Linked DNA regions of Nothobranchius furzeri. The main gene of each other region encodes a partner of the protein of the gene in region 2 in a complex. Links are inferred from orthologs where the notes say so. Each region holds a gene or a part of one and is shown on either strand. Other genes may lie near its edges.

Evidence for each region.
Region 1: the proteins of cdkn1bb (region 2) and skp2 are in contact, whole or in part, in a crystal structure (PDB 2AST), measured with the Homo sapiens proteins. The link is inferred for Nothobranchius furzeri from reciprocal best matches to the Homo sapiens genes CDKN1B and SKP2. Residues at the interface, in NP_004055.1 of Homo sapiens: Ala181, Gly182, Ser183, Glu185; in NP_005974.2 of Homo sapiens: Arg294, Asp319, Val321, Arg344, Tyr346, Asp347, Gly369.
Region 3: the proteins of cdkn1bb (region 2) and ccnd1 are in contact, whole or in part, in a crystal structure (PDB 6P8F), measured with the Homo sapiens proteins. The link is inferred for Nothobranchius furzeri from reciprocal best matches to the Homo sapiens genes CDKN1B and CCND1. Residues at the interface, in NP_004055.1 of Homo sapiens: Lys25, Pro26, Ser27, Ala28, Cys29, Arg30, Asn31, Leu32, Phe33, Pro35, Val36, His38, Glu39, Glu40, Leu41, Thr42, Asp44, Leu45, His48, Cys49, Met52; in NP_444284.1 of Homo sapiens: Met56, Ile59, Val60, Trp63, Glu66, Val67, Glu70, Glu92, Lys95, Lys96, Ser97, Arg98, Leu99, Gln100, Leu101, Ile126, Tyr127, Thr128, Asp129, Ser131, Arg133, Glu136, Gln139, Met140, Leu142, Leu143, Asn146, Lys147.
Region 4: the proteins of cdkn1bb (region 2) and cdk2 are in contact, whole or in part, in a crystal structure (PDB 1JSU), measured with the Homo sapiens proteins. The link is inferred for Nothobranchius furzeri from reciprocal best matches to the Homo sapiens genes CDKN1B and CDK2. Residues at the interface, in NP_004055.1 of Homo sapiens: Met52, Ser56, Trp60, Phe62, Phe64, Gln65, Asn66, His67, Pro69, Lys73, Tyr74, Glu75, Trp76, Gln77, Glu78, Val79, Glu80, Lys81, Gly82, Ser83, Leu84, Pro85, Glu86, Phe87, Tyr88, Tyr89, Arg90, Pro92, Arg93; in NP_001789.2 of Homo sapiens: Gly13, Thr14, Tyr15, Gly16, Val17, Val18, Tyr19, Lys20, Ala21, Arg22, Asn23, Lys24, Gly27, Glu28, Val30, Ala31, Leu32, Lys33, Thr47, Glu51, Val64, Leu67, Asp68, Val69, Ile70, His71, Thr72, Glu73, Lys75, Tyr77.
Region 5: the proteins of cdkn1bb (region 2) and cdk4 are in contact, whole or in part, in a crystal structure (PDB 6P8F), measured with the Homo sapiens proteins. The link is inferred for Nothobranchius furzeri from reciprocal best matches to the Homo sapiens genes CDKN1B and CDK4. Residues at the interface, in NP_004055.1 of Homo sapiens: Glu53, Ser56, Lys59, Trp60, Phe62, Phe64, Gln65, His67, Lys68, Pro69, Lys73, Tyr74, Glu75, Trp76, Gln77, Glu78, Val79; in NP_000066.1 of Homo sapiens: Gly18, Thr19, Val20, Tyr21, Lys22, Ala23, Arg24, Asp25, Pro26, His27, Ser28, His30, Val32, Leu34, Ser36, Met75, Asp76, Cys78, Ala79, Thr80, Ser81, Lys88, Thr90, Val92.

The regions. Positions count from the first base shown.
Region 1 is NC_091746.1:70,421,681-70,425,678, reverse strand, and holds the start of skp2 (S-phase kinase-associated protein 2), read left to right. Parts: upstream 1-1,197; 5' UTR 1,198-1,327; coding exon 1,328-1,341; intron 1,342-1,694; coding exon 1,695-1,903; intron 1,904-1,992; coding exon 1,993-2,104; intron 2,105-2,599; coding exon 2,600-2,743; intron 2,744-2,826; coding exon 2,827-2,961; intron 2,962-3,998. UniProt on the Homo sapiens protein: Substrate recognition component of a SCF (SKP1-CUL1-F-box protein) E3 ubiquitin-protein ligase complex which mediates the ubiquitination and subsequent proteasomal degradation of target proteins involved in cell cycle progression, signal transduction and transcription.
Region 2 is NC_091744.1:57,771,973-57,776,097, reverse strand, and holds cdkn1bb (cyclin dependent kinase inhibitor 1Bb), read right to left. Parts: upstream 2,702-4,125; 5' UTR 2,436-2,701; coding exon 2,009-2,435; intron 1,879-2,008; coding exon 1,763-1,878; 3' UTR 1,748-1,762; intron 828-1,747; 3' UTR 503-827; downstream 1-502. Other genes in the region: yars2 (tyrosine--tRNA ligase, mitochondrial), read right to left, coding at 3,917-4,076. UniProt on the Homo sapiens protein: Important regulator of cell cycle progression. Inhibits the kinase activity of CDK2 bound to cyclin A, but has little inhibitory activity on CDK2 bound to SPDYA. Involved in G1 arrest. Potent inhibitor of cyclin E- and cyclin A-CDK2 complexes.
Region 3 is NC_091749.1:21,576,476-21,580,422, reverse strand, and holds the start of ccnd1 (G1/S-specific cyclin-D1), read right to left. Parts: upstream 2,809-3,947; 5' UTR 2,632-2,808; coding exon 2,434-2,631; intron 1,730-2,433; coding exon 1,514-1,729; intron 1,028-1,513; coding exon 868-1,027; intron 1-867. UniProt on the Homo sapiens protein: Regulatory component of the cyclin D1-CDK4 (DC) complex that phosphorylates and inhibits members of the retinoblastoma (RB) protein family including RB1 and regulates the cell-cycle during G(1)/S transition.
Region 4 is NC_091743.1:49,088,347-49,092,627, forward strand, and holds the start of cdk2 (cyclin-dependent kinase 2), read right to left. Parts: upstream 2,807-4,281; 5' UTR 2,665-2,806; coding exon 2,549-2,664; intron 1-2,548. UniProt on the Homo sapiens protein: Serine/threonine-protein kinase involved in the control of the cell cycle; essential for meiosis, but dispensable for mitosis. Phosphorylates CABLES1, CTNNB1, CDK2AP2, ERCC6, NBN, USP37, p53/TP53, NPM1, CDK7, RB1, BRCA2, MYC, NPAT, EZH2.
Region 5 is NC_091743.1:49,241,580-49,245,644, reverse strand, and holds the end of cdk4 (cyclin-dependent kinase 4), read right to left. Parts: intron 2,352-4,065; coding exon 2,242-2,351; intron 1,694-2,241; coding exon 1,643-1,693; intron 1,565-1,642; coding exon 1,429-1,564; intron 1,150-1,428; coding exon 1,048-1,149; 3' UTR 505-1,047; downstream 1-504.

The DNA.
Region 1 (3,998 bases), on a different chromosome or scaffold from region 2:
CGCCTTGGTGAAAGCTACAGGTGACTGGTTAACATGTGTAACTGCATGTCCAGACTGTCCACACACAGAGCAGTAGGGGCGGGGAAGAGGGAGGATCAGACTCAGACAGACACACAGCAGAGCACCTGCGGGTGGAGGGAGACAAGAGGCAATGAGGAGGACGAAAAAGGCGAGCGAGAGGGAGGAGAGTGCGACGAAGACGGTGAGAAAATGAGCGCCAGCAGTCGGAAAGTGGAGATTTCTTAGTGTTCAGTTATTAAATCCATAGAAATTATAAACATTTGACATATTGCTTTTTTAACATTAGTAAATTATTTTACATATACGGTAGTTTAGCATTATTTTGGTTATAAATGTATTCTACGCAACAGAAAATCTGAGGAGCCACTTGGGAGCCGAAAGAGCCGGCTCTTTTTGGTGAGCTGAGCCAAAAGTACCGGCTCTCGAAAAAGAGCCGGAATTCCCACCACTAGATAGAACCTCAAACTAAACCCAGACATGTTTGGACTTGTAGTAACTTGCTTGTTTGTTTTTTGTTTATATTTCTATGTTTTTGTATCTGACTGTTTTTCATTTGTACATTGTAAATTGTTTTATTTAGTCATCCTGTTGAGGAACTGCAGATGTAAATTAGCAATTGTGCTATAATCTGGCCTCTTTACAATGGATACAACGTATGTGATTGTTATTAATGCGCACTGTCCCGAATAAATAAATAAATGAAATGATCGACCACCATCTCCGAGAAAGAGAGGATCACAAGCACAAACTGAAAATAAACGAGTGCGTCTGGCACCAGAAATAAGGGCGCTAGAGTCGAACACCTTGTGTATTAAAACATTTTCACACACTGCAGGTGAGGCCTCGAAGATGGGGACATTTAAGGCAGCTTTCACTAGATTCAAAAGAACACGTATTTGTTTTACCCATTTCTGATAATTATGTAGACGGTCTCTTAACATTGGGAAGGATGTGCAACCCATGCAGGGGGTTGTGGGACTAATATTATAGCATCAGCTGCTCCACTATTAAGTAAAATGACTATAAATAAGCCGATAATGATATGTTTGGTTGATTTGGTCATATTTTGGTGTGTCTGGTTGCTGCTTTGCTTATTAAATTATTAAAAACCAGAACATTTCTACTCCCAGGCGCTAGGGGGCGGTGAAGCCGGTGCGTGATGACGTCACGTCTTTTTACGTAGTAAAAACAAGGCGCGTGTGAGTTGGTGGCGCGTTTAAAGAGTCCAGTTTGGAGAGTAAAGAGAGAAACGCGAGGATTAGAAGTGCATTTTCCCGGATTAGGGTTATTAATCTGAAGCGGAAGGATGTCTCAACACAGGTTTGATGCTTAACTACATTTAGTTCCTGTTTTCTGTCTTATTCGCTTATTTAAACCAAGAAAATGAAACAAGTCGATGATCCGATTAAAATAATCCAGTTAAATAAACGGATCACTTAATCTGATGTCGGACTACTGGGGTTTCCTTTCTAAACTGCTGGTTTGATCATTTTATGCAGATTATTTTTAATGGTGTTTAAAAGCAGCTCTCCCAGTGGTTCTAGCGGTGGGACTTTGCGCGACCTGTCATCATCCTGATGGCGGGCTGGGGGCGGGGGGGTGGGGGTGGGGAGAGTCTTCCTCAGGATGAAGGTCCGGTTCTGGCTGATCAGACCCATCTTGTCCACCTGCAGCCGGACCCTGATGCACCTGCCCTGCTCCAGCCTCCGGAACAAACGGTCCCGGACCTGCCTGGCTGAGGGTCCGGACTCTGAGTGCACCCCCACAGAGTCCATCCAGCAGAGACCACCGCCTCTCAAGGTCCCACTGCTCCTCCCCAGGGGCAAAGAGAACGAGTTTGTGCTGGCCCGGAGGTCCCGGAGGAGGAAAAGCTCCAAGTCAGGTAGGAGAAACCCCCCCACCCCCCCACGCTTCCATCTGGCTGCCTTCAGAAACCTTAAACCTCTCTGATTGGCTGGTTTCTCTCCTCAGGTGTTTCATTGGATCATCTACCTGAGGAGCTGCTCCTGAGGATCTACTCTTGCCTCCCCTTGCATGACCTGCTGAGGATTTCTGGAGTCAGTAGGCGCTGGCAGCGTTTGGCGTAAGAGATCCTGCTGGACCGCACACACACACACACACTCAGAAAACCCAGCTGTGGTTAGGGTCGGGGCTTCTCCAGGGGGTCCCTGATAAGTCCCTGCTTGACCAATCGCACCTGTTCACTCGAGGATTTGTCGCTAACACCAACGATGCTCAGGTCAAGTTCTCGTGCGTCTGCGGGCAGACCCTGTTAATGGATGCTAGATAAGTGAGCATCTTCCCCCAGATGGAGCAAGAATTATTCATTCATGCCAACGAGCACTACAGAGAACTAGAACAGAGCACCGGCTGTTTGATTAGAGCCGTCTTCCTGGAGGCGTTTATTTAGTTTATGTGTTTCCATGGCAACGCCGGAAGTCCGCTTCCGTTCTGTTTCTCCTCGTATTTCATTTGAGTTTCCATCAGTGGGGCTTTGGGCGGAGCAGCAGAGACATGCAGGTGACCTTTGGGCTGGAGGGGATCAGGATCCGGTTCTGAGGTAATCTGTGTGTTTCAGGTCCGATGAGTCTCTGTGGTACAGCGTGGACCTGGAGGGGCTGACCCACGTGGGCCCGGCTCTGCAACAGGTTCTGAGGACCGGGGTCCGCCGGCTGCGCTGCCCTCGAGCTTTTGTAGAGGAACAATACCTGACCGACTCTCGGTGAGTCCGACAGCCCGGATTGGGGTCCGGTCCCAGCAGCAGGTAGAACCCCCCTGATAATGGGTTCTGTTCTGTCCTTCCAGCCCGCTGCAGATCGTTGAGTTGGACCTGTCCAGCTCTATCATCCCGACCTCGACTCTCCAGAACATTTTGGGTCGCTGCAGGCTGCTGCACCACCTGAGCCTGGAGGGTCTGCAGCTCTCCAACAGCATCATCAGGTCTGACTTGTACCGGGTCAGGATTTGGTCTGATTGGTTCTGGTTGTTTCAGACATGAAAATCCCTCACGTAGGGTCACAGCGAGGCCAGCTTTCCCAGTTCAACCAGTTCCAGTATTATCCACTGGAGGACATACTCATGAGCCCCCCCGACACCACCAACAGTAGTGGAAATAAGTCCATCTGAACCGGCGACGCGCTCGAACGCAGCTCATCTGAACCGGCGACGCGCTCGAACGCAGCTCATCTGAACCAGCGACGCTTGAACACAGCTCATCTGGACCGGCGACGCTCCAATGCAGCTCGTCTGGACCAGCGACGCGCTCGAACGCAGCTCGTCTGAACCGGCGACACTTGAACACAGCTTGTCTGGACCGGCGACGCTCCAATGCAGCTCGTCTGGACCAGCGACGTTCGAACGCAGCTCGTCTGGACCAGCGACGCTCGAACGCAGCTCGTCTGGACCAGCGACTCGCTCGAACGCAGCTCGTCTGGACCAGCGACGCTCGAACGCAGCTCGTCTGAACCGGCGACACTTGAACACAGCTCATCTGGACCGGCGACGCTCCAATGCAGCTCGTCTGGACCAGCGACGCGCTCGAACGCAGCTCGTCTGAACCGGCGACACTTGAACACAGCTTGTCTGGACCGGCGACGCTCCAATGCAGCTCGTCTGGACCAGCGACGTTCGAACGCAGCTCGTCTGGACCAGCGACGCTCGAACGCAGCTCGTCTGGACCAGCGACTCGCTCGAACGCAGCTCGTCTGGACCAGCGACGCTCGAACGCAGCTCGTCTGGACCAGCGACACGCTCGAACGCAGCTCGTCTGGACCAGCGACGCTCGAACGCAGCTTGTCTGAACCGGCGACGCTCGAATGCAGCTCGTCTGAACCAGCGACGCTCAAACGCAGCTCGTCTGGACTGGCGACGCTCAAACGCAGCTCGTCTGAATCGGCAACGCTCGAACGCAGCTCGTCTGGACCGGCGACACTCGAACGCAGCTCGTCTGGACCAGCGATGCTCGAACGCAGCTCGTC
Region 2 (4,125 bases):
CAAAGGAAACACTCGAACATTAAAACGTAGCTGAGGCGCACAGAAAAACTTCAAAAAAATTGTTTCATAATATTCCAGGACTCTGATGCTAAAAGCACCTCGATTAAAAAATAAATATCAGAAAATCTTAACAGAATTTTTACATCTCCTCGTCGTTTAGACGAGTCCAGCCCTTTGCAGGGAGGCGCTGTAATAAATGAAAAAACAAATTAAATTACGATACGTGAGCTACATTTGTACCATTCTTCACTGCTGCATTAGGAAGCTGACGGAGTGAAGGAACACTACAGAAACGGTGAGAAGCCATGATTTTTTCTTTTTAAGTGTAGCAATTAAGGACAGTGGCAAATGTCACACAGTCTGGAAATAAAAATAAAAAACAGCATTTTGGAAACCATCACTGCAATTCTTCAAGTCAAATGAAAATTCACAACTTTTTACAAAAAGGATTGGATTTAGAATTAAGTTCCTTATGTGCTACACATGGAGACATATTTATACCTATATATATATATATCCATCTTTATTAATTTATTTACACACAGGTAGTAACAAAACGAGCAAAAAAGGGAAATAAAACCTAATTGCACACTGCTACATCGACTGCTGTTAGAGGCAGTAACTTATTTTTAATTGAGTGCCACAACTTTAGTGTTTCTATTCAGTGCTTCAACAGCGTCCTCCTCAGTCCTCAGAAGAGCCGATATGTTTCTGATGCTGCGCAGATCCTCATCCCCAAAAAGCCAACAAACAGTCAGGCCTCCAAAAAAATAAAATAAAAGATGCATATAAAAAACAACACCCTCGCAAAAAAAAAAATGCTCGAACTGTGTGGAGAAGGTGGGAAAAATAAGAAAAAAAAAAGGTTAGTATTAACATTTTTGAAAAATCATCTTTTAACAATTCATGGAAAAAGTTTCACTTTAATTATTTTTCATAACTAGACTGTTTATTTCAAGTGTGCACCCCCTATCAGTTTCCTATTTTTAAAAAGACTAACAAGGTTAAGCTAAACTGACCTGTTACACACACACACACACACACACACACACACACACTTATGAAACTAACAGCTATTTTGTCTTTTAGTGCAGTTCTTTCATCATATTTTATAATAAAATCTTTCAAGGATTTACTTTTGAACAGAAAAACATCCTCATATTGAATCACACCCGGTTATTGTTCAAATTTCTGTGCTAAAAAGAAACATTGATGTAAGTGTTCTCATCTGCAGCCTAAACAGGTCCTAAACCACTGTGAGGAAGATCTCATCGTGCCCATCCCTCCTCCCTTTACTTGAATTCGGACCTGCGGGTCTCCTCAGCACACTCCTCTGCCTGCAGGGACAGCGTGCGTGCGTGTGTGTGTGTGTGCGTGCGTGCGTGTGTGTGTTCAGAGACCAGCCCCTTCTCTGCTCTGCTCCGAGGGCAGTGGCTGCTGACGTGTTACTACTACACTGTTGTTCAGCCCTTGTTTACAGTTTAGTAGAAAAGCTGCAGCAGTGAGACGTTAAAGCCTTTTTCTCTCGGCAGAGTTGATCTCATTGTGATTAAATGAATATAAAATGTTGAAATGGTTACTAGAGTCCAGCATTTTACTTACTGAAGATAAAATAAGCGTGCAGCACCGTTAAAGCTACTCGATAATATGTGGAGAGAACGTGTTATATAACCTGCTGTGGCTCAGATCACAGCTGAGGAACAGAAGCTACATGCGGTTATTGTATACGGATGAGTTTAAGCCTCACCGTTTTCTCTCGGGCTCACGTCTGTCTCTTGGGACTGGGCTTTCTGGGTGTGTGTTCTACTGAGTGGCTCAGGTTCGGACAGCTAACCTCGTCTGGGCTGGTATGGGACCTCTTGTTTTGGGTCGGAGGCTCTGCGAACAGCAAAGAAATTCTGTCAGGGAAACTCGGAGCAAAAACACAAGAAGAGGGTTATAGATGTGCTTCCTGTCGGGTGAAAGCCGAGCTCCGGCTCTAAAACCTGATTAGATGCAAATGTAGTACCGTGACTAGCAGGTCTCTTCCTCAGCCCGGTGCACTCCGTTTGACCGTCGGGCTTGCTGGTATCCCCGCTCGACGCCACCAGGACGCAGTTATGGTTCCCGTTTAGATCCACACTGGTGCTCCTGGGGCAGACGCCCTTCTCCCTCCGCGGCTGCCGGTGGTAGAAGTCCGGCATCTCCTCGGAATCCACTAGTTCCCATTTGAACCTGCCGTTGCTCAGTGGCGTGTCACTGGCGAAGTCGAAGCCCCACTTGGCAGCGGCAGCCTCTTTGAACTCCCGCATGTGTTCGTTAAAATCCTTCTTTAACTCTTCGTGATCCACCGGGCCGAACAGACTTCTGCAGGCAGACGGCTTCGGGTGCTCCGACACCCGGGCCTCCGTCCGCTCCAACGTCGGACTCCCGTTTGAAACTCGAACATTAGACATTTCCCCTCCCCCCAATAAACACGCTATTTTCAGTCAGCCGGGAGCGTCCAGCTGTCATAAGAAAAACACGTCGCTGAAAAAAAAATACAAATAAAAAACAACAACAGCGGTATCTCCAGGTCACGGGGGAAAGATCCGACGCAGCTCTACACCTATGCCATGCATACGTCGAAGTGGAAGACGTTAACTGCTGCGGGGCTCTGGAGTCGAAGATGGTCTCCGAGAATCATCAAAACAAAGTGCACAGGAACTGAGGACGCTGTCAGTTTCGCTCCGCTCAGAGAGAAACTGCAGAGAAACCTCAGCACCCAATATGGCGATTGAGGAGCAGAGCAGTGGTGGGGACTGAGACGGGAGGGGGAGGGGCTTATGATTGACACACAGAGCTATTTAAACCCGGCAAAGGACGCTCATTGGTTAAGCGACACCTGGCCCCACCTACTTTATTTAAAGTGACAGTAGGCGTGTATGAGTGGGGAAGTCGGCTCATATTTTTCCATCACGTTTTACTAAAATAAATATTTATGTATGCTTCTTAAAAATAGAAAACGTATTTTTGTGTAAATGACTACATCACACAAGCTTTATAGTTACACATCTAAAAAAAATACTAAATTTACAGGTAATTTGCAAAGGAGTCAAAACCATTATTTTTCTAAACATCTTCAGTGTGCATTACTCTGTTTTTAATAGTTGATTTATTCTAAATATAAGTATTAACCAAATATTTACCAAATTTAAAAAAAAAATCCAGCATCATAAAGCAACACACGTATGCCAAAGACACACTACAACGGAGTGTAAAACAAAACTAATAAGCCAAGAACCTGCAGAAATCAAACCTGCCGTGGGTCGAGCATTGGTTTTTACATCGCAGCTGAAAAAATTCACAATTTCACATAAAAGTCAGCATGCACTCCCAAAAGAGAGAATTACATCATTATATATATATAATACAAATAATTTAAGGTAGTTTCTTTTTGTCAATGACTGCATGAAAACCTTTTTTCTCCTTTTGTTACTTTTTACACAAACTGACAGAAAATAAAACACCAGACGTAAGGCTGATTTTGGCCTCATGTTCCAAAATAAAAGTGCAGTGTTTAAACTGTTTTGTGAGAAATGATGCAATGTACTTTTACTGGAAAAAATGTTTACTTAAAAGGGTCACAGCAGGATAAGTGGTGCAGATGAGGCCGGCTACAGCCAGCCATTAAAACAATAGCGCCATCTTGTGTTCACTTGACTAAACTATTGCAGCACAAAATCAGCAAGAAACCAATCTTATCAAATACTTTAATACCACACTTTTAAATAAGCATCACAGCTATGCATTTACATATTTATATGTCCATAAAAACAAATACTTATAAAGTAAAAGTCCATCAAAATCTTCTCACTGACTGCCAAAGTATTGCTGCCTACCTTCGTCATCAGTCATTACAGTTTAGTTTAGTGCCTTCATTCTCAATCAGGGAGTGTCAGAGGCCGAGCCACTTGATGATGTAGAAATTCCTTTTTCCTACTTTGAGCAGCGTGAGTCCATTAGTCAGGATGTGGACTTTGGGGATCAGCACCTGCTCTGGATGGTCAGCCCGTTTGTGGTTAATCGAGATTGCCCCCTCTGAAACCATCCGATACCTGCCAACATAAACATGTATGATTAAGACTCTGGGTTAAAGGAGAATGA
Region 3 (3,947 bases), on a different chromosome or scaffold from region 2:
AACAACTCTGTTGGTCAATAAAGGGAGAAAACGAATTTCTCCACAGTAGGACAAAGGTACATCTACCGGTAATCTTAATAAAAACAGATTGGCGCACAGCAGTGACGTAATTAAAAGCACCGGTTAGATTAGCCGCGGCTAGTCTGTTCACGCCTAGAAATCCTAGACCCGCTCCAAACGAACAGGGGAATCATGTTAATGATTCCTAACTAAACCTTTCGACATAGAGATGTTTTGGTGCAGATAATGTCTTATTTCAAGGCTGCACCATGGGTGCCCGTCCGCACCCGTTATATGGATATACGCTGATGGCGATTTGCCGATGGATCTAAATACCCCGGAGAATCCAAGTAGCACCAAAGTTGTCAGCGTGAGTAAACAAACGTACTGCATGCTAGAAATTAAGTCCGGGTTGCAATAAATGGGAGTTTTCCTTTAAGCACATAAGCGTGAATATACAACTACGTGTCGGACTTGGTATGCTAATGAAGTTGGGCTGTGAAGCGCCTCCCAAATTCGCTGTTTATGTTTTTGTTTATTATTTGGCAGACAAAACTTGGATCGGAGACAACTCGCGTGGGAAATTGCAATGTAGCCATGCGGCATCTTCTTCTTCTGTTTGTCTGGGAGGCGGAGGCTTCTTTACGGCATCTGGCTGTCGTGCGTGTTGGTGTACTTGAAGAAGGCTGTGTATAATAGTCCATAATATCGATACCACAGGGATGGAATATCTAATTTAGATACCACTTTTAGTATCAATTTATATCTAGGTATCGATTTTTTTGACAACACTAGTGTGTGTGTGTGTGTGTGCGTGCGTGCGTGTGTGTGTGGATCCACTCCTGAATCCTGACGTCCAGCACCCACCTGTAGCACAGAGAGCCACGAAGGTCTGGGCGTGTTTCCTGAGGATCTGCTTTGTGGACAAATGGATCTTCAGTTTGGACAGGAAGTGCTCGATGAAGTCATGAGGCGTGACTGAAGCCAGGTCCCACTTCAGCTTGTTCAGAACCAACAGCTCCATCTGCTGTGGGTGGACCAGAACAACCAATCAGACGTTAACTCAGCGTCTGCCTGCTGCTGCACCTCTCGGCCACTAGGGGTCAGTGTAGACCACCAGACAAGCCTGTCAGACGCTCCAGAAGAACACTATTTGTTCCATCTCCCACAACCTTCTGGTGGGATGGACACACGTGAGGAGAGGACAACCTTGCAGGTGAAGTGTGACGTGACCTTTGTTCTGGTTTTTGACACCTCAAAAAAGATGCTAGTGATGAAGATGAGGTTGATCTCCTCTTCTTCCTCACTGGCTTCTTTTCATGCTGGTGTTTCTGTCTCTCTCAGGCTCTCCTGTTTACTTTATTTTCTATATTAGTATTTATTGTTGGCTCTTGTGAAGAGCCTCGTGATTCTTTATCTTGATGTTTGCTAAATGAGAAACTTTTTCTTCTTCTAAACACCTGATCTGCTGGTGTGCCTGCAGCAGCCTCCCACACGGTCCTAAAGCCCTTACCAGCAGCTCTCCGGGCTGGACCGAGTTGTCCGTGTAGATGCAGAGCTTCTCCGCCGTTAACGGAACCGTCTCCTTCATCTTGGACGCCAGGAACATGCACGCGGCTCCCAGCAGTTGCAGGCGGCTCTTCCTGCTGGACTCCACGGACAGGAACCGGTCCAGGTAGTTCATGGCCAGAGGAAAGACCTCCTCCTCACACTTCTGCTCCTCACACACCTGAAGGGAGAGGAGCGGACAGGTGAGTCCTCCACACACGCACTGTCTCACACACACACACGCACGCACACACACATTCTCTCTATCTCACACACGCACACACACACTTTAATCACCAGAACTCGGTACGTTCGGACACACCGGCCCCTCGGGACCTGTTGGGTTTGGGCACGAGGCTCCTTCGCGTGCTCGGTTCGGGTCCGGACCAGACCGGTCCAGGCAGCTTGTAAAATGAATAAAAATGACCAGAATAGGACCGAGTCTTTCTGCAGACGCGTGAGAACACCGGAGACACTGAGCCGAACCTTCAGACCCATTTGGTACCCTTTCATCCTTTAAAACTGTTTTTTTTTTTTGGTCTGCCATCCTCAGCGGAGCCGTTCGGAACCAAGACAGTTTTAGACCCAGTGGAACTGAAGTTGGTCTGGTTTCTGTGGAGCCTGGTGGGTCCGGCTCGGTTCTGGCTGATGTCTGACTGGTTTTAACGGACTTTAAATCCTATCTCGTCGGTGGCAAAGATGGCGCACTGTCCGGACCTGCTGGGCCGGACTGCATACGTGTACATTACTGTGAATTCTGGAGTAAATCCGGATCGGTTCGACCTCACTGCCTTCGGTACGGCAGTCCAGACCGGGTCCAAACCGGAGCTGGATGGGGCAGCCGGATCAGAACCGGAACCATTCCCAGGGACAATCAAAACTCACCTCCAGCATCCAGGTCGCTAGGATCTTCCTCATTTTAGGAGCTATTTCCTTTTGGACGCACTTGAAGTAGTTCGGAGCCGGCAGGTAGTTCTCCTCGGCCCGCAGCATGGTTCGGAGGACCCGGTCATTCAACAGGTTCACGTCCTGGTAGGCTCTCCGGATGGAGTCCACTTCGCAGCACAGCAGCTGCTCATCCATGGTTTGGCTCGGAACACAGAGAGAACCGGTTCGGTACAAGTGTCCTGCTAGAACCGGCCCGGTGTCTTTTCTATCTGGTATTTTTGAATCCCGGTGTCAGGGCTGCTCCGTGTGCTGCTGCCCCTCTGGTGTGCGCGAGTCCTCTGAGGTCCGGACCGCCTCGCTCTGGCGAACAAAACCTCCGCGCGCACCTCCCTGCGCGCGCGTGTCTGTACGCCCACACACAAACGGCTTTTTCGCTTGGGAACAAGTAAAGGCGGGTGACGTAGGCTGTTGTTAAGGGGCGGGGCCGCGGTGGGAGGAGGTGAGATCAAAGAGAAGCGGTCTGCAAGCGCGCGAGCAGGAAGAGCCCTCCTCCCTCTAGCCCTAGGAGGAGGTGGGAGGTCTGGGACCGGGCCTCCGGGCCCAACAGGCGGCAGGGGGCGGCAGTGACCCTCCCCCTTTGTCCTGCTGCCGGTTCGGTTCGGTGTGAATGAACAGCAGAGGACACAAGGAGGAGGGGGGAGTAACTCATTCATCTCACCTTATCACGACCCAAAACTAGACCGAGTACTGGTCCAACTCTGTAGTTCTGGTACTGAGTTCCACAGAGGACCCTGGTTCTGTTCAGTTCACACCTACTGGTGGAGTTTTGGTTCTACTGGATTCTGCTAGGTTCCCTGTGAGCCCTACTGGGTTCAGATCAGCAGGAACCACATGGTCCAGAACATGTGACATCACTAAAATGAGACCTCCATTCAGAACCCTAACCCTACTAGATCCACACACACACACACACACACACACACACACACACACACACACACACACACACACACACACACACACACACACACACACACACACGCGCACACACACACACACACACACACACACACACACACACACACACACACACACACACACACACACACACACACACACACACACACACAGGGGTTGGACCAATGGGAGGACCTGCTGTTACCAGGCAGAATCCTGTTTTGGGTGATGGTGGTTGACCCAGTCCAAGTGTGAACTGGATCTTTAGACACAGATGTTCCTCTTTGAGCTGCTTTATTCAGCCAGTAGAACATATTAGTGGTGAGAGAGCTTGTTGGATCAGAACCAACTTGTTCGTGGACACAGCTGCTGTGTAAACTCAGAAGATCCAAGTCTAGTTTCAATTTGAGTCAGAGCCTTTGAGCATTCCTGGAATTCCTCTCTGGCTGCTGGATTCACTACCGTAATGCCTGAATAGAGCCTCCTCTCTGGCCACTGTCCTCAAGGCTCACTTTGTTGTTGTCAGGGTAAAGAAAACAACACAACTCCAAACA
Region 4 (4,281 bases), on a different chromosome or scaffold from region 2:
TGATGAGTAAAACGCAAAATGCTTTTCATGTCACGCAGCTGCTCTCCTCATATCCCAAATGGTCCCGATGGTTGTTGTCACTGCTTCTGCTGCATGCTCGCGTTCATTTTCGCTTTTGTTTTCGTCCTAACGGCTCACGCCATATTGTCTTTTTATTGTTTTTATAGATGGTGTTGGATACGTCTGTACGGGGAGTTAACCGAGGTTAACAGTCAAACCGGTTAATCCCTGCAACCCTAACCTCGAACGGATTAAATTATGGCGTACTTTGACGGAATAAAAATTTTAAAGGTGCATTATGTAGAAATGAAGTCAAAATTTTATCCTGTGCTTTTTGCCGGCAGTTGTCAAATTACAACTGTCGGCGCTGCGGTATTAGCTTGCAGTAGATATGGCACCCCCTCACTCACTGATGGTAAACAGTAGTTACGACCCTCCTTTTGTTTTGAATGGAGAAAAAGTGGCAATCCCCACAACCAGCTGGATATGAAATATGTTTCAGTGTAACCTTTCTTCCAAAATGACTGAAACATTAGACTCTTTTGGGACTTTCTCACTGTAAAATTCTTACTATATTCTTACACTTTTAAAATGTTTTAATTGTCTATGGACGCGCTGATCAGTGACGTCACTCATTGCAAACATGCTGATGATATGCTGACGTATTTGCAAAGTCCTGAAAAGGCTGATTTTGTACAGACACAACGGCTGAAAACACTGATCCATTGTGTTTTCCTGGAACTTCAATAGTGGAAACATGGCTATCGAGTACGCTAAATGATCCCACACAGCAGCAGATGGTGCCTTTGCTAGTTTAAGGTCAAATTCAACAATAAGAAAGAGATGAGACAAAAAAGCCTCTATGGGACAGTTCCGTAAAACATCTCTGGTGACCACACAAAGACCCATCTCACCGTCTCCAAAGAGCATCTTGATGATATTTTAGAAAGTGGAACACTTGTTTAATCAATGCATTTTTGTAGTAGTCTCTAGTACTAATAAATGACGAGTAAGTTGTTTGCAGGGGGAAGAAATATCCCAGTGCACCATTCTTCTGACCTAAAATTTGCCCACATCACAGCAGACCTTCTGATGGCAGGATTTGGAGTCTTTTTCCTGATATTTGGACATCTCACTCCGGATCGGACAACAGCAATGCAACTCGACCACTGATTTGCAACATAGACATTTTATCTCCACAAATAACACAAGGCTGGAGGAACTTCGGCTGTGTGGTGGCATTGCTAATGCTAAAGGTTAGCTTGAATTAGCTGAGAAGTTCTCTGCTGTTTCCTGGACACTAGAACAAAAAATTTACTGGACACTAATCCAACAACACCCAAGATGGGTGAGTCCATGAATGTTATTCAGTGTGACGTAGATCTGTCAGGCTTTTCTAATTCTAGTTTCACCGTCTATTTTCTATCAGAAGCTAATGCAGGAGAAAGGTGTGGGAGACTATTTTCATGTTCAGTCTGCATGAAAAACTCAGTAACCATAATCAGGAAAAACATATTTAAAATGGTTTTTCAGTCAACAGCATCTTTGAGACTTTTTTGAAAATATTCTCTGGAGTGGTGAGACTATTTTGGTGAAAAACTAACTTCAGAAACACATCAATATACCAACAGTCAGACACGGTGGTGGCAGAGTGATGGTCTGGGGCTGCTTCAGGACCTTGACCACTTACTGTAATTGATGGAACCATGACTTCAAACATGTCAACCCACTCGTTTGGCTGGAATAAAACAATGTCAAAAAAATGTGGTCTAGGAATCCTTCACAGCAATGTAAGCCTTGTTATTAGTTCTCACAGATGCTTGATGGATGTTTATGCAGCTAAGGGTGTTGATTGGTTGTTTGTTTCCTTAATAAATAAATTAAATCATCATTTGAAAACTGCTTTCTGTTTTTACTTTGATCATCTCTGGTATTTGTGTTGGAAGACATCGATAAGGATCCAAATGCTTTTTTCAGAGTGCTGAAGTTTGGGTATGTTGGTAGTTTGACAGCTTGAGATACTGAAAGGTACCCTCCTACAGCAGCAAAACTATAAAACATGTCCATTCAACTAATAAATCAACCAAAGGAATGAAACAGAATAGCATTCAATGTAGAGTCAGAAAACTACTTCTGATCACTCACTAGTAACATCTGATCGTAGACTAAAACACAAGACAATGAAAAATTCCCTTAAATAGTTACATATTTCACTTGCTCAGACGCTTTTACCCAAAGCGACTTGCAAAAAATTGTAAGTCGCTTTGGGTAAAAGCGTCTGCTAAGCACATAAGCATAAACATAAACAAACATATCCAGCTAACCTACAGGGTTATATCCAAGGATGCTACGTCACTTAGTCCTGTGTGGAGGTTATATTAGGCACTGAATAATTACAGTTTAACGAGAAACGCTTATTTCTGTTGTTGCAGGAAGTGGGCAGACGATCACCAGCCACGAGGTCGTGGATAAAAAAAAAATCTGAAGCATTAGTGGATGTTTTTAGCGCGGCGTTAGCTCTGGAGATAACTCCTGCCTCTTAACTTACGTGTCCAGGCGGATTTTCTTCAGAGCAACAGTTTCTCCGGTCACTTTATTCTTGGCTTTGTACACCACTCCATACGTCCCTTCTCCTATCTTCTCCACTTTCTGAAATGAGTCCATTTTGCTTACAAGAGCGGGACTGTTTAAAGTTTAGCTGCTTAGCAATACTGGTCTCTTTGTGTGCGCGCTAGCAGCAGCAGCGACAGCGGCTCGGTGGCTACAGAGGGGCGATGTTAAGGAGCAACGCGGGGACAAACCGACACTAACCGCCGCCCCGGCTCCCTTCGGCCAGTCCGGAAACAGCCGAGCGGGAGATAGGGGGTTCGTGTAGAAGATGAAACGCTCTCAGATCAAACGACAACACAAAAACAGGTATATGGGCATGTGTGCCCAGCCTCGATAGTAATTATGTGGATTAATTCAAAAGGGGAGCGCGACGGTCGCAGCTCAGTCCACAAAACTGAACCAACACAGCGGCGTTTCCCGCGTTGTAAGAGGAGCGTTCGTTTTTGACTTCATGATACACCGATTATTTCGAATGGGTGGCACTGTACTCTTTATTTTATTGCTTATCTTGCAGTGTTCTCACAGGGGACCGCTATGAATGAATCCAACGCTTTAGATTAGATAAAAATGTTCACAAAAGTACTTCTGGTGTTTGTTAAATTTAACGTGTTGTTAGAAATCACCAGAAGTTGGGATGAGACGGAGACACTAAATGAGCAGCCCTCACTGGTCACATGATCAAAATGGATGACGTACCCTGACGTCATCTTAGAGGGATGTGGAGTGCTTTTGTTTGTAAAAAATGTGTTTATAAAATTATTTTCTTGTCAATTAGATCTAATTTCACAAACATTAATTCCATTTTAGCCTACCATCATATAAGTTTAAAGTTGCCATTGTTAGTTTTTTAAACATTTAATTAATTTCTTTACCTTAGAACAGGAGTCCTCAACCAAGTTTGGTCCTGAGGTTTTTACAGTAGACGGGCCAGATGCACTCTAAAATAACTAAAAGCATTATTGTATCTTAATTTATCAATAATTTAAATGACTTTGTTTTCCACCTAAACTGTCTTCATTGTAGTTTTAGTTGTGGTTGGAGAATGTAAACAATTATTGGGGGGGGGGGGGGGGGGGGGGGGGGGGGCAAAGAATTGGGACTACAGCCCTGCACAGGCCTAAAATCTGAGCCCGTGTCCGCCCGGCCCGAGGGGGTGGAGCCCCAGCCCAAACCAGTCCGAAAAAGTTTTCAGGATTCTCTGGCCCAACCCGAGCCCGAGGCCGACTTTTTTTCTTTAACCTTTCATGATGTTTTAGCGTGATAGAAGGCTCAGCATTCTAATTATCTGTGGGAAGCGTTCCGTAGTAAAAAAAAAAAAAAAAAAAAAGAAAGGAAAGAAAGAAAAACAGCATTCAATGCAGCTTTTTTTTCTAACAGCGTATTTTTCGAGCAGCAGATGAAATTTACGAACACTATATTAATTGGATGCGTTTGTAAATTTTATCTGCTCTGAAAATGCGCTCTTGTGCAATTAGGAAAAAAAAAGCAGCATTCTAATTTTCTAACTGCAGAGCACATTTTCAGAAACACCCCCAATTAATATAGCGTTTGTAAATTTAATCTGCCACTCTGAAAATGCGCTCTCCAACCCAGTAGTGAATGCTGTATTTTTTTTTTACTGCAGAGCGAATTTATTAACAGAAAAATAGAATGCTGCCATTTTCATGAGAA
Region 5 (4,065 bases), on a different chromosome or scaffold from region 2:
GATTTGGCAGCAATGGTGGGGGGTGGCACGGCCCTCAACATGCTATAACATGCAGATGCGGCTGGCCCTGGGTTCCTTCTAATATAAGACAACGCTAGACCTCATGTGGCTGGAGTGTGTCAGCAGTTCCTGCATGATGCTATGGACTGGCCTGCCTGTTCGCCAAACCTGAATCCAATTGAGCACATGTGGGACATCATCATACACGGACTGCCCAGGCAGTGGAGGATGCTTTAGTCCAGATCTGAGAGGAGATCCCTCAGACCATCCACCACCTCACCACGTGGAGGCCACACACACACTACTGAACCTCATTTTGACTTGTTTTAAGGACATTACATCAAAGTTGGATTTGCCTGTAGTGTTTTTACACTTTAATTCTGATTGTGGCTCCAAATACAAACTTACATGGGTTAGAGAACAAAGTATATTTCATCTGTTCAGATAGAGGATGTTTTATTTTTATAGACAGTCATCTGTAAAACACAACAAACTGACCCAGAATTATTGAATACTTTCTTTTATTCATTTCAGATTTCAGTGTGTGGTGTTTAGTGACATTTGAAGGTGTGAAATTCATTCCACAAAAAACTTTTGTGCAATAACTCAAAAGAAATTCCAATTTTTTAAGCTTTTGTGCGTTTATCTGTAACTGTTTGAAACTTCATTTAAAATGTTCATGATTCAGATACAGCCACTCACATTATAGACAGCGAGCAGCTTCAACACGGGTTACAGCTGTGTAAGACAAACATCACTAACCTATCTGGAGAATGTACGGCAACAAAAGCAGCATTTAAACGAGACATTTCTGCATGTTGACTCCAAGACTAAACATCAAAATCACTAGTGCTGCCCTTTAACTGCTGCTATAACATCTTTACATGTGACTTGTACAAGCTCAAAAACATGGCAGTGCTCATCAAATTCATCCTCACAGAGTTTCATCCTGATTTCTGAAGCAGGATCAACTAAGAAATATTCCCTAAACATAATCTGTACTCAGAGGGCGCTGGATCCTGTTGGTTCTTTTTCTACTGCATGATTTCAACTGGTTGTCTGAGGCGACGTCTCCTCATCCTGGAAATACAGATGTTCTAGAGCGTTCAGCGCTGATATTCGCTTCAAAGGGTCAAAGGTCAGCATTTGCTGTGGAGGAAAGAGAACAGGCAAAAAATAGATTTTATTTTTTTTTTTTACAGTCATTTGGTTGACAACATTCCCCCCACACATGGTTAGCTGTGACACTTTCTGCAGGAAAATATTTCTGTGTGATTTCTTTTCTACATTATATTTTCATATTTCTTTAATAATGTGCTGAAAAGTCATGCATCTGTACGATTCTGCTTTAGTTCAGGAAAGCCCGGGGGTCCGGGGCGTTGGCAGGTGAGAAAAGAATCGGCCTTCAGTTGTTAACTCAAGTCTTACCATCAACAGTTTGGCCCCCTGCTCGTTTATCTCTGGGACAAAGTCGGTGATCGGGCGAGCTTTGACAGCGGGAAAGTTTTTCCTCGACACGGTGACGCCGGTCGGCCACTCCTCCTCCTGCGGCAAGCCGATAACTCTGAAAGCAGATGAGTGAAATGAATGATTTGCTTGGTCGTTCTGGTTGCTGATGTTCCGCTAAGTCTTTGTTACTCACTCAAATATTTTCCCAAGCTGGTCCATTTCTGATTCTCCACAGAATAAAGGTCTTAAAAAACAAAACGATACATGTAAAATTAGTTACGTAATTTTTATTTTAATCATCTAAAACAAATACAGTTCTTCAACCCTGTTGGCTGCTGATGTCATGCTGTTTTCCACCACTAGATGGAGCCACTCTGCACACATCACACATAAACTTCATATCTTCTAGGTACGTCCACCCAGGCTGCTCCCAGACTAAACTCCAGCTGTCAAAATCTGTAAAACTATGTCCCTGAAAATCATCAGCCTGAAATCAAATGCTGACATCCTAGAAAACGTTGATCTCCGGGCTTGTTTGGAAGAGGATGCAGAGCTTTTTTCCTTCCCTTTTTTTTTAAATTCTAAATTTAGTCTAAAAGGCAAATCATCATCAGAAGTTGGGTTATAAACTAGAACTAAGTCTTTAAAAACAAACGGGTTTCACAGATAATCATTCTATCGGATTTCCAGACCGCTCATCTATCAGCTGGAAACATCCCAGTCGTAGCAAACCGCTAAACCCGAGTTGACAGAAGATCAGATACCGGTGATCTGAACGTTATGTTGACTCACTTGCGTCTGAACATCTCAGCAAAGATGCAGCCGGTGCTCCATATATCCACCGGAGTGGCGTACGTGGACTGCAGCAGAACTTCAGGAGGTCGGTACCACAGCGTCACCACCTCCAAGAGAGCCAAACGCAAGACTGGCATTAGTAACAGCACAAGCTTCGCTTCATCTAAGCCAACCTTCACATACTCGAGCTAAACACACGGTGTGTACGCATGAAGCAGAGTTTTGCTTTCGATGTGAGCCTGGTAAACGTCAGCTGATGAATCTGAACGCTGAACTCCTGAGGAGAGCACGCCGGTGCCTCACTGGGCTGCAGATGTGGCTGTTTACAGTCATTCATCAAACCCTTACGAGAAAAAGCAGCGTTCACTGACAACAATGTAAGATGTAGTTGATAGTGCTCTGTGACAGTATTACTAAGCAACCGGTTAAAATTCACTAAAAAATGATGCTAGCAGGCCAGAAACGTAAAGATGCAGAAGTGAGCACATTTCAGCAGGATGTGTTGGTTGAAAGTGAAAAACTAAATAGATCCTGAGTAGAAACAGCCCACTGTGTTAAACACCTTCCTGATGAGCCTTCCTACATAAACCAGAATAGATGTTATACTAGACATTTGATTGTTCTTTTGTTTCATGCTGCTACTTTTGTTATAATCTATAATCCCTAAAACTCTGTAAAGCCAGGCCTGCTGTGTGATTTTCTGCTCATTTTGAGCCAATTTTCCACCCATGCAACAGTCTTTGAGGTCAGGTCGAGTTTTGTGTCGTGTAGTATAGAAGGGGTTACGAGAGGCGGTTAAGACCCCCCGACCAGCTCCCAATCGCACGAGAATCAAGCATATTTAAATTTCTGCTGATCCCTTGTGAGGGTATGACACCGCTGAAGCTGCACCGCGACCCAAATGTACCAGAACCGCTCACACAGCGCACGCGCCAAAATGTCTGGCCAGCCATATTCATCTCCACACACGTTTCCACCTTTTACTTACAGTTTTCTCTGCACATGTTAATGTTAAGAAAGCACCTTTTGTATTCATGTCAAGTAAAAGCAGATCCCAAAACCTCGGTTTAGTTCCTACATGCCTTTCATTCTTCCTCTACTTCTATTCCCCATAAACCCCTGCGTGTCCTCCCACAACTACGGCAGGCCTCAAGGACAACAGACATCAATGACGGCACAACAGTCTCCTCTCTTTCAGGTTTCTGGATTCACAGGTTCGACCCGTTGAGAAAAAAACTCTTAAAACACATTCTTTGGACCGGCGTGTTACTACCACAACAGTGCGAGCGGTCAGAGCGTGAGAACATGACTCGTGGCTGTGCCCTGTGAACAGTGTCAGATGACGAACAACCAACGAAAAAGTCGCACAGTGTACGCCCTGTATTCGCCATCTTGTTTTTTCTGTCATTACCCAAAGCTCATGACTACAGGTGAGGACTGGGATCAAGACCGGCAGGTAAACTGAGAGTAGAGATGCACTGATGTGACATTTTTGGGCCGATACCGATATTAATATCACTGTTAGGGCCGATATCGATATACTGACATTAATGCTTCTAAAATCAGCAGATTTTGTAAAGACTGAATATTATTAAAGCTGAATTTACATTATTATGTACACACACACACACACACACACACACACTTACTCTACTGAGATGATTGCAATCACTGTCACTTGACTAAAATACACAGCACCCCCTCACCCTCTGAAACTGATAAACAAATGGAAACAAGATGGAAAAAAATACCAGTTAATATCGACCTAGTTTTATTTATCGGACCGATACAGATATGTTAAAAAATGGCCGATACCGATAT